Linked DNA regions of Bombyx mori. The protein of the gene in region 2 purifies or fractionates together with the protein of the main gene of each other region. This does not show direct contact. Links are inferred from orthologs where the notes say so. Each region holds a gene or a part of one and is shown on either strand. Other genes may lie near its edges.

Region 1 (4,039 bases), on a different chromosome or scaffold from region 2:
AAAAATATTATTGGTACATACTTTTTTTCTTTGGCAAGTTTTCCTAGGGTCTTCTGTTTATTCCTCTGATTGTTGAAGAAGACAGACACTAACTGGAAATCTCTAACTAATCTTTTTCGTCTCGTTCTCTCTCTCAGTCTTCTGATGTATATATCAACTTGTGATAGCTTTAGTGCTATAAAAAATAAAAAAAACGGGATATGTCATTTTTTATTTATTATATATATCTTATATGTATTTAACTAAGCTATGAGACGTTTTAAAATCATAAAATAGATATACAGATCTTATAAAGCTTTTAGTCTAGCCTGTTCATAATATGTATCAAATAAGAGACGTCTCAGAGTGAATAATTCATATGTAAATTTCAAGCTCAAGGTCGGCAGTCTATCAGTCATTATTATGATTTTTTTAAAAGGATATTATTATATTAAAAACCACATATTTTATCAACCAAAAACCACTTATCTATTGAATATATATCTATATATAACCTACCAACATCTAATTCATCATCTTCTGGATTTAATGATAATGTTGAGATCAACTGCTCTGCCTCATGATCATGTTCCTGAAATTTCGACACTTTGTAGAACAATATTTTAATTTATTATAGTAAATAGTACAAAAAATTCATTCTTACTCTTTCAAAATCATCTCTATTTGGCATATACCCAAGTTGTGCTGCTTCGTCTACTGTTATAGCTAGGTTTGGTAGTCGAGACACTGCAGTTGGACCAAGTGGGCCATCATCTTTATCTGCACAATGTAGTGATGGGCGAGATGTACTTTCAATATTGCCCCATGTTGCTTTGCCTATGGTGCCTTCCAGGTACCTAGTAATGTATTCATCTTTTGCTTCTGTAATTGAAATTTATGTTTATTTGTTATTATTATTTATTTGTCTTTCTTATAACAATGATGTAAATGAAAGGATTTGATTCGAGCCCTACACCCCAGCAGAGGGTAATAGGAAAGAACGATGATTATGATTATTATTTATTTTTATTATTATATTTAATTAATAAATTTATATATAGTATGATAATTCTTTGGTAATCTTTCTAAAGTTCAGCACTACTGTACCACTGCCACCATGTGAAGCAGAACCTCCTTTGCTCTACCTATAGTCGCAGTTCAGTATATTTGTTTACAATGCTTCCATCGCTGTTACAGGTTTAGGAAGGAGTTTAGAAGAGTGCAGAGGTCTTAAAGAATCTGAGATTGACATGGTCAGTCCTTTTGCGGTGTCAATTTTTAGAAGTATTCTCAACAGATTTAAATAATTACTTCTCACCCTATTTATTATTTTTAGTACTGGTGTTAAATCGTTGATTTGAACTTATGGGATGATTTATTTCCAAATTATTCTTTTTTACTTGTGAAAATAAAGGATATGCATCATGTAAATTTAATCCCAACAAAATTTATTTAATGTAAATGTTTAATATATATTTCTTATTCTTGTTTAATATATATTTTGAGCTTCCATAGCCCATGAAAAAATCCTGTCTTAACATTGCATGTGGTGAGTTTATATACATTATTGAATGGTTGTGACCATGCTGTCACCATTAAATATGCAAAGTTACTATATCAAGGGAGTAAAAGGCTATTCGGTTTAAATGACATTTTTGACAACTTTACAGGAAGGCCATTCAAAGCTTAAAAATTGGAAAAAATATCATAACCAAAAAACGTCTTCAGCTATTTGAATGGAGTAAACGTAAATTGAAATTCAACTAAAAACATCGAACTGTTGATACCAAGTATACCTTTAATTACTAAGGTAATGTACGTTATACCAAATAGCATTTCACCCCTCGATATTATAAAACTGAGACTTAGTAATCATGCCTAAAGGTGGCTAGTAACATTTACGTAGTTGAAATCTCTTGAATCCCGTAACCACCTAACAACAACAGGTAGACGGTAAGCACGTCTACCCAAATATAAAAGCTGAAGCTTTAAAAAAAATTGAAATTCGAAATATTCACCATATTTTATTCAACAATGTTTTTTCGTTGCAGAAGCTATTTTTGAAAATTGTTATTGCATTTAGATAAAAAGTTACAAATAATAGTATGCATATACTAGGTATTCTTTGCCAAGGCATGCAATGTATGCTGTTTGATGCCAATGTTGAAAAATGAACCGAAGCACAGTGCTAAGACAGCAGATTACTGAGTAGCTTATATCATTAAATTACCTTCAGGAGTTCTTGTTTCAATATGTTTTGCTATATCCTCCCAGTTACCAAAGCCGAATTGTTCTATGGCATCTAATAATCTTACTTCTTCGTTAGCTGACCAGCTACTACGTCCTAAAAATATTCCAAAAGCCCCAGAGTCCTGGAAAAATAGAACACTCTTGAAAATCTATTTACTTTCTGTAATAGTATTACAGTAGTCGTTTATAAAGTGCTTACCACAAACTGATATGAATGATCGTTTTTGTGCTGTCCGATTTCAGCACCAAGAGAAAAACACTGAAAATGCATTTTATTGCATATTAATTTCTAAGTGACAATTTTAAATTTTGCGCCAAAACTATCAACAAAAATGGCAGTATCAACTACTTTACCTGCAAACAAATATCAAAATCAACACATTCAGTACATTTAACTCTTACGCCGTTTATTTCCTCTTGACAATATGTACAATTATATTTAGCGTAAAGATCTGAAAATGACATGATTTTTATTACAGTGAAAACAAACTTTAAACTTGTACGTTGGCAGGCTTCAGATTAGCGCACAAATTTCCAAAGCCATTTTACGTTTTTTATTCCCAAACATTTTGAGTTACCAGAGTAATAAAACATATTTTGTAAAATATTTTATTTCCTAAAACTTAACTACGCATTCTAACATGTTGAATAGATTTGAATCTACTATGTATTTGAAAATTAATTTGGTAGCGCAAGATTGGAGTAACACTACCCTATCCGGTCATCGGCGAGAAAATTAACCCACAGACACAGTTCACCGAGTTTCTCGCCGGATCTTCACAGTGGGTCGCGTTTCCGATCCGGTAGTAGATTCTGCGAAGCACTGCTCTTGCTAGGGTTAGTGTTAGCAAAATCGTCAGGTTTGAGCCCCGTGAGCTCACCTACTTGTTAGGTTTGACTGACATAGCCTCTCAAGGCTATCGGCTTAGGTAGAAAAAAAAACTACCCTATCGCTTCCCGTTGTTGTCACAAAATACAACTAAGAAAACTGAACAATGAACGATGCACAGAAATAATAAACCAATATAGGTCTTGCGATCGACAAGAGGCTTATATTAGTGTATTTCTTCCATGAAACCATCATGCATTCTAGTTTGAAGTGTGAGACAGTTTTTACAGTTACAGTTTACAGACAGTTCGACAAAATCAAAATCCTGTTTTGTTTGTAATTTAATGCTCTCATTTAGAAAACCGTATTACTGTGTGAAAAAGATTTTTAACGTTAAGCTAAGACGCATCATTCCTGTCGAATGTCTGATAAGACGTATTTTTACTACAATATCTCTTCCTAACGCAAGTATAGAAAAGGACGGTGATATTAAAATTCACGATGTACAGTATAATTTGCAAATTAATAGTCGAACTTACCAGGCAACCATAGACGTAAAATATAGACCTAAGCTAAATTTGAACCAGGAAACTGTTACTAGTCTTACAAATAGTGATAATTCCAATGAAATTCGTTAATTTCTAGTTTAAAAGCAGCTCTCTTATAATACTGCATATTAATCTGTGATAGTAACATGCTCCTTATGAGCGTTGCTGTAAGTGGTAAAAAGAAAACTACTACTTAATGGAACATGTAAATCCAAAATAATTTCTAACTAGTCTGTAGCTCCAAAACCTTACTACAGATTTGACCTAAAGGTTGTAAATACCAGGTCTGAAATCCCAAAAAAAAAACTTACTACAGATTATATTCTGTTGTATATGACAGCGAAATGTTTTTAATTCAAGTTTTCTCAAATCTTGCTTGAGCGTAGACAGAGAATCTATACATAAATGAATACAAAATTAAACTTTATTGTTA
Region 2 (4,035 bases):
TACTTGTATAAACTTTTAATTTACTTAGGTAAATAATAAATAAAGAGATAACACATAATTTTATTTCATGGATTACACTTTTAAACCATCTAAAATAAGTTACCTGAACAATGCAGTTCATGAAGCATGTTGATCCTAGGTTCTGTAAGCCCCGTAAACCTATTGTAGTATGAGGACTGATAAGGCGCCGTTTACGTAGGCGACGAAGAGCCATTGCTTCATTATGGTTTGGTAACCATGGCATAAAAGGTATGCTTATACCAAGGGACCTGCACCAAAATGTAAACGTTTTACAAATCACAGTTGAGGTAGTAACGTATAGTATTAGTACAGAATGTGGTACAGTTCGATTGAAAAACAATACAATTTAAGATTTACATATATCTTTGTCAATATATATATCTATTTATCATTAAAATGATCAATTTCTTTTGTAGTTGTATATTATGTTTGGTGAAATAAATAAAAATCTAAATCTAAAAATCTAAATTCCTTGCTGTTGTACAATTAGGTAAATTATATTTGTTTAATAAAAGATGCATACTTAGCCTCCTTTGCCTTATGTATTGCAGCGATCTCAGTAAGCTCCCTATCATAAATGTAGTCTTGGCATTGAGCACAGAAGACATTTCCATAGCTAAGGTCAACATACAGGAAGTGTTTCTTAGATTTGGAGTGTTCTTGAATATGACCAGCATAGCATGCAAAGTAGATACAGTGGAGACATGAATGCATACGAGGTCCAGGCTGGCCACAAGCAAAGCAGAGACAGGATGTTGCCTGAAACATCAATCATTCAATGTTGTGTGCAATTGTTACTAACAATTAGTTTAATTTAAATGGCATTGTTACTTAAATTGTTATTAGTACAAGAATTGTAATTATAGAAACTTCTGAAAAAGCAAATCGTTTTTTAATCTTTTTATTTTTTTTTACTACCTAAGCTGATGGTCTAGTCTCTAGAGAGACCATGTCAGCGTCGCCGGGCTAATCACGAGTCGTGTGTATTTTATAGTATTTATATGAAAGCTACGCTAAGCTATCACGAATAAAGACCACGCGTTTTATAAATTCCTCCCCTTATGTGTAAATTTCTAATAACAGAACACAATTCTGTGCTGTTTAGTTAAATTTACCATTGAAACACATAAATGGATGACAAAGAAATCATATTTGTAGTTAATATCAATGTTGCTGAAGTAAAATCAATAATGTGCAACGCTCAAGATTGAACGGCGCATCGTAATTGCGACTAAACGCAAACAGCTGTTTCGAGGTCAAAGATCACTAATCAGCTGATTACAGATTTTAGCACAAAAATATCTCACATAATTTCATACTAGTTTAATAAAACAATCCTTATTTTTCTCATTTTTCTTTACTTTTCATAAACAAATCAAACAGTTTTATTGGAACAATTTGCAGCGCAGAAACATTTTTGTACAGGTCTTTCGCATTTTTTTAAATATAGCTTTTCTTTTAAAAGAAGTATCTTACCTTGTATCTCCGTGCTTCATACGACGTACAGGAAACAAAAAATGCATGTACGATTTTATATGGGTTAGTGCCTTTAGCAGCCTTAAAATTATTTAGGTGTATGCAACCATTGTCATTCATTATTTTGGCTTGTAAATTCACCGGTTACAAAGATATCTCGCTGACAGAAATTAGAATGAAAGCATAATAAGATAATGACGGTCGGTAACCAAAATAAAAATAACAAAACACTAATACTGAAAACAAGCAATTAAATGAAAATTTAAAATTCTGAACCAAGAAATCGAATCTGACTGCTGATCGGTATATCAGGAGGTATATTATCTATGCTGCTGAAGCTGACTTGAATGAAATTATTTGACTCTAAGCTGTGAACGGGGCGCGGGGTGTGTGTGTGTTTTCTTTTAAGGGATTTTATGACCTGGTAACTAAGACCTTTAAGTCATGTCTTATTTTAATTTATATTCTTATTTTTTTGAAAAATGATATTATGGAGTGAAATGAAATGAAGATGATTAATTTGAGACATTAATCAGCTGGGATGAAATAAAATGAAATGAGATGATATGAGATGAAACATAATCTCAGTACTCTCAGTAAAATGGTGGTCATTTACTGAGATTTTTTCAGGGGGCTTTTTGGAGGATCCCGAGAAGCTACGTCCAGCGGCTTTATTTAATTTTCCCACATTTGTGCACTTTCACAGATATTAAACAGTTAATAAACCACAATTATTACACATTTAAACCTGAAGAAACACTAAATAAACAAAATAAAACAAATCACACAACTTCACTCCTCGCGTTCCCACCAAAAAGTCCGCGGGGTGTCGGTAAGGTGCTGCGTAGATTATAACGATTCAACGCACCGGACTATACATACATAGAGAAATTATTTTTTTTTAAGAGATTTTATGACCTGGTAACTGAGACCTTTAAGTCATGTCTTATTTTATTCTATATTCTTAATTTTATGAAAAATGATATTATGGAGTGAAATGAAATGAAAATGATTAATTTGTGACATTAATCAACTAGGATGAAATTAAATGAGATGATATGAGATGAAATCTAATCTCAGTAAAATGGTGGTCATTTACTAAGATTTTTCAGTGGACTTTTTGGAGGATCCCGAGAAGTTACGTCCAGCGGCTTTGTTTCATTTTCCCACATTTGTGCACCTTCACAGATATTAAACGGTTAATAAACCACCATTATTACACATTTAAACCCGAAGAAACACTAAATAGACAAAATAAAACAAATCACACAACTTCACTCCTCGCGTTCCCGCCAAAAAGTCCATAGAGAAATTACATTTGTTCTAACCATAGATTATACACTTAATATATTCGAGTTCTAACCATGGAGTTCTATCCTCTATAAGTTTCTGGCTGGATCTTCTCAGTGGGTCACGATTCCAATCCTTTGGTAGATTCTGCGAAGCACTACTCTTGCTAGGGCTCTTGTTAGCAAATTCTCTCAGGTTGAGCCCGTGAGCTCCAACCATTCGGGCGTAGCTGGAATAGCCTCTTAGGTAGGGAAAAAAAATCCATGGCTCTAACATGCAATAGGGAGTTCAACTCAGCTCAAAAAAAGAAATCTGTACATCACATGCAAAAGATTGACAGATTTTCTTTATTGCGTAGATGAATTTATGAGTGTTAATAACGCGGATTTCTCATCTTGCGATTTGGGGTCAATATTTTAATTGTATTAAACAACGCCTGTAAACCCTTCAGACCCGAACGCATAGCTCCTTTGATTTAAGCTGGGTGGATGGTCATAATATAACACTAATAAATACAAATGTTTTATACTTAGATAACGCTGCTTGTTTAATGTAAATGGTGAATCACATAGCAGCTTTTTACGAGATAAAAGGAATAATAAAGGAACCCAAAGACAGCTTAACTGGCCAAATTATCATATTTTAAGCATGAACAGGGTGGCCATTGCTATAAAAGTGAAACTAAAATATTCTAGTTCGCTTGTGGAAGCGAGACTAACTTTTCGATAGAGTAGACATTTCTTTGGGTACTTAAGTGCTGTTTCAAGCATAAGTGTATAATCTATATTTCAAGCTATTTGTTGAAATGTTGTAAATAAATATGGCCGCGAGTCATTCAATAATGATGTAAACTTTTGTTTACTGTTTTTAAATTATTTTGAGAAATGATAAGTGATTTTGAAAATCTATCCCTTAGTGGAAGCAATGGTCCCAATAATCATACTGATCCATTTACTCATACGGGTGAGTGTCATGGTAATTTAATTTGTGGACGTGAAGATGTTTTGCTACTATAATGACCTCAATGGCCACTATTATGTGCCATGGATTAATATGGTCATCATACCGTTATTTTCAGAGCTGACAGCTGAACAGCAGAAGACTTTGATTGATATACGACGTAGGAAAACAGAGTTACTGCTAGAAATACAGGTCGGTACAATTTGCTAATCTAATCAATCATGTTCTTGAGTTAGCTTCACCTGTTATCTCGCAATTACCTTACGTTAACGCGGTAAACAGTTCTGT
Region 3 (4,128 bases), on a different chromosome or scaffold from region 2:
GCAAACCTTGTAGCTGACTTACATGTTTCTCTGGAAGCAGATACACAAAATATATCTTTGAAAATCCTATCCTACCTAACCTCCTAACCTACCATATTCCATTCATTAATAATGATAGCACATTCTGTAAATGAATGAAACATGAATTTTCTTGAATGAGAAATTTTTATGCTTAGTTTAGTAAATAGTGTTTCGTAGTTGTTTTCGGTATGTTAGAGTAGTTCTTTACTATTCATAAGACATATTGTAAATCAGAACAGCACTTATTCAATAAATTGAAAATAATTAAACGACGTGCTATTGAATAAAACTCTTAAATCATTTTACTACAAATTGTTTTTAAGACAAGTTTCAACCTAACCCTCTAGAAATTAAAGGCATTTATAAACTAGATTCCTCATTCATACCTAATACATGGTTGCAGTTTCTACACACGTCATTGAAGCTGGCAAGGGGCTGATTATCAGCCCGAGGAGTCTTGCCCGCATGCTGTGTTACTGGAGTCTTCCATCCATTGCAGTTACAATCTGGTGTCTACCACAAATATTAAAACTGATAGCTAATGATATATTGTCAGTCAAATTTGAATAAGTCCATAAACTTATAATGTTTGATGGTTAATGGTACTACTAACATCTAAATAGAAAATATTTGAATTGAGTCGTCTATTATCAAAGGCGGCAATCTGTGCATTTGGACAAAAAAATGTTATTGATATGTCAATACAGATTCATTTGAATATAATCGTCTCCTTCAAAGAATACGGTTTAAAACCTGCATTAAATAAAGGTTAATAGTTAACCTGTTATTTATCTAAGATGTCGTTCCGAAGAGTTTTGTGACTGCCAATGGAATACAAAGTCAATAATTCGTTTTTCTGATTTACCAATTATTGTCCAAAAGTCAGATTGCCGGCTTTGATAATAGTCGACTCAATTATAACATATTTTTTAATGTTTCTTTTCATTTTATTATTTCACAGAAGGCAGAATAATTAGAATTTGCGAAAGGATATGAAATCTAGAAATTAGATACTTATATTGTTATACAGTACACTTAACATTATGTTTTTCAAAATCATTTTCATCATTCATTGCTATTTGCTTTTAAGTTATGGGTATAATGTTAAGTTGAGATCAAGAGGAGTTACTTCGTTTTATTAAATAATGTTTTCATGGTTTTTAATTCCTTATCGCTTAAAAGTCATGATAGGACATCATTACATTCAGTGCATTAGTAACATTTTCATTTACAATACCTGACAGGCTGAATATATAGCTAGTTTGAGTAGTTTTTTATTATGGGGCCAGTTGAAAACTTGTTGTTTTCTTTGTTGTATCCTTTGTAGGTTAGACTGCCGGGAAGCCTGTCCTTCACTGCCTGCAGGAGTCCCGGCATTGCTTGATGATGCATCATCTGCACTTAAGCTTGATGTAGCTAGAGGAAAGTTTGTAAATGAACGCTGAGTTATTGCGGTAGTTTAGTAGCAAATTATAATAAATTTATTTGGAATTAAAGGAGAAGTTTGTTTTTCTTGGTGTTGAGATCTCCTGTGGCTATACAAAGCACACTGTGCAAGTTACTGTTCACCTTCAAATATCAGATCAATCAGATTACATTCCAAAATGACTATTTTACCTAGTAAAGCCTTCATAATTGCTTTGACAGATACAAACAAGAATGTAGTGGTAATTTTTACTGATAGCACTTTTTATTTTATTACTTGAACAAATATTCGCCAGCACCTTAATGATTATTAAACCTCTAATGTTGTTGTTGTTGTAAGCCTCTAATGATTATTAAACCTCTAATGTTCATTTTCAAACTTATTGCTTACACAGTTTCATATCCATGTTTGGGAATAGCAGCCTTTGGTCATTTTGTTTCTATATAATATTTTTATATATAATGACAAGAATAATTATGAGGAATGGATTTATCTGTCCCGCCATGTACATGGTGAATATCTGCTAATTCTTCTATGTAGTAATTGCAAGTTGGGCCATCACTTAAAATATGCTTTTCAATACATGGCCTATTAGTCGCCATACTTATATAAAGCTACACCACACCTGGTTTATAGCGGTGAATATTGTAATGAGGGTAGTCTGAGATAAGAAAGTTTATGAGAATATAGATAGACCTGGTTATGTAGTAGTAGCTCAAGAAAGTACGGTTTCCAGCCTTTCTGAAAAATAGCTGATCAGACTATCACTATATAAGATTCTTTTATATGTGTATGTAATAGAGAAATTACAAGTACTAATGGCTTACAACTATCTATAGAATAGCGGGAGAAATTACCACATACAAAACACAGTTGAATTTCGATTTTGTTAAAATTTAGCTCAATAGCTAAATTTACACACATACATTTAAATTTACAGTTACAATTAACTTGGTTCACGTGGTGTTTTCATTTTCAACTACATATATTAAAAAAGCCGATAAGATGTTAAGGTCATTATTCTGGTGATTTCTATACAAAATTATTAATTATAGTTGAAGAAGCGTGATTTTGTTTATTTACCTTCATGTGTATGATTTTGTGAGGAGTCTGGCTCTGTGCTTGTCATTGCTATGTCAGCTATTTCGTCAGTCGCTTGAGACATAATATACAATCACAAACAAATTTTTGTCGCAGTAATTCTTCCCGTAAATAAGAAGTCAACGCTCTCATTTATGTATTCACTGCATTTTGGAAATAGTTACACTGATAACATGAAATAAGGCGCAAACAACAGCAGTCAAACTTTTTATCAGAATTAGACAGTTGACGTTAACACAGATTTCAGATTCAAATGACAAGTATTGTCTCCTTCATAGATATTTTTTTTTTGGTACCATTTTTCCTTGTTAGGAAAGGCAAGGGAATCTAAGCCCATACAGCCTTGTCTGCTCTATATATTCTCTGAAATAAATTTTCAAAAAAGCCGAAGCCAGGTCTTATATGATATATCTTCATAGATAATACACTTGTCTCCTTTTTGCTATAATCTATGGAGGGTAGAGGTAAGGAGAACCGTCTGGACTTTTTGGCGGGAACGCGAGGAGTGAAGTTGTGTGATTTTTTTTATTTTTTTTGTCTATTTAGTGTTTCTTCGGGTTTAAATGTGTAATAATGGTGGTTTATTAACCGTTTAATATCTGTGAAAGTGCACAAATGTGGGAAAATGAAACAAAGCCGCTGGACGTAACTTCTCGGGATCCTCCAAAAAGTCCACTGAAAAAATCTTAGTAAATGACCACCATTTTACTGATATTAGATTTCATCTCATATCATCTTATTTAATTTCATCCCAGTTGATTAAAGTCTGAAATTAATCATTTTTATTTCATTTCACTCCATAATATCATTTTTCATAAAATTAAGAATATACATTAAAATAAGACATGACTTAAAGGTCTCAGTTACCAGGTCATAAAATCTCTTAAAAAAAAAGGAGAACCGTCTCTGGTAGTTTTCCAATAACAGCACAAGAGCGCATTAAGCGGCACAATGCATAAATAAGCTTCAGCATAATTCGGCATTGTGCGTCACTGAGTCGCATTATGCTCTGTAACTGGAAAACTACCTGTATTAGTTTTCCAATTACAGAGCATAATGCGACTCTAATATGCGAATATTATATATAAAACTTGATTACATTCAATTACTTATGATCAATTTATATTTAGTTGGAAAATGATCTGCGACAAATTTTTCCTGTAAGCTATGAGAGAATTAGAAAAAACATCTATTTCATCACTTAAAATTAGTTCAGCGCAATCGGACAACCCCGAATGAACATATGTTGTTGTTCAAAGCAGGCATGTAATTACCAATTATTCTAACAAATTTTGTTACTAAGGAATAAGTGATTAATGGTGGTATGGCTCATCATACGAGACTACTTGTCGAACCGTTCGTTCCGATATCGGGTCGAGGGAACGCACTCTCGCCCCCGTCACGTTACAGCCTACAGCCGGAGTCCCGCAAGGCTCCGCCCTCTCCCCGTTACTGTTTAATTTGTATATCAATGATATACCCCGGTCTCCGAAGACCCATCTGGCACTCTTCGCCGATGACACGGCTATCTACTACTCGTGTGGGCGTGTAGGAAGAAGTCGTTATTGCATCGACGACTC

Evidence for each region. The genes of interacting proteins can lie anywhere in the genome.
Region 1: the proteins of ubiquitin carboxyl-terminal hydrolase nonstop (region 2) and transcriptional adapter 2B purify together in Drosophila melanogaster (affinity purification with mass spectrometry; 3 studies listed by BioGRID, with this or other methods). This does not show direct contact. The link is inferred for Bombyx mori from reciprocal best matches to the Drosophila melanogaster genes not and Ada2b.
Region 3: the proteins of ubiquitin carboxyl-terminal hydrolase nonstop (region 2) and histone acetyltransferase KAT2A purify together in Drosophila melanogaster (affinity purification with western blotting, with the first as the bait; 3 studies listed by BioGRID). This does not show direct contact. The link is inferred for Bombyx mori from reciprocal best matches to the Drosophila melanogaster genes not and Gcn5.

What each region holds. Positions count from the first base shown.
Region 1 is NC_085131.1:6,658,781-6,662,819, forward strand, and holds the start of transcriptional adapter 2B, read right to left. Parts: upstream 2,801-4,039; 5' UTR 2,695-2,800; coding exon 2,584-2,694; intron 2,489-2,583; coding exon 2,429-2,488; intron 2,352-2,428; coding exon 2,210-2,351; intron 1,473-2,209; exon of another isoform or gene 862-1,472; coding exon 644-861; exon of another isoform or gene 572-643; coding exon 499-571; exon of another isoform or gene 176-498; coding exon 22-175; exon of another isoform or gene 1-21. UniProt on the Drosophila melanogaster protein: Component of several Gcn5-containing histone acetyltransferase complexes that regulate nucleosome organization; involved in acetylation of histone H3, particularly on Lys-10 (H3K9ac) and Lys-15 (H3K14ac).
Region 2 is NC_085123.1:10,250,363-10,254,397, reverse strand, and holds the start of ubiquitin carboxyl-terminal hydrolase nonstop, read right to left. Parts: upstream 2,801-4,035; 5' UTR 1,618-2,800; coding exon 1,498-1,617; intron 781-1,497; coding exon 545-780; intron 270-544; coding exon 104-269; intron 1-103. UniProt on the Drosophila melanogaster protein: Histone deubiquitinating component of the transcription regulatory histone acetylation (HAT) complex SAGA. Catalyzes the deubiquitination of histone H2B, thereby acting as a coactivator in a large subset of genes.
Region 3 is NC_085120.1:4,791,267-4,795,394, forward strand, and holds the start of histone acetyltransferase KAT2A, read right to left. Parts: upstream 2,801-4,128; 5' UTR 2,613-2,800; coding exon 2,531-2,612; intron 1,438-2,530; coding exon 1,259-1,437; intron 535-1,258; coding exon 408-534; intron 31-407; coding exon 1-30.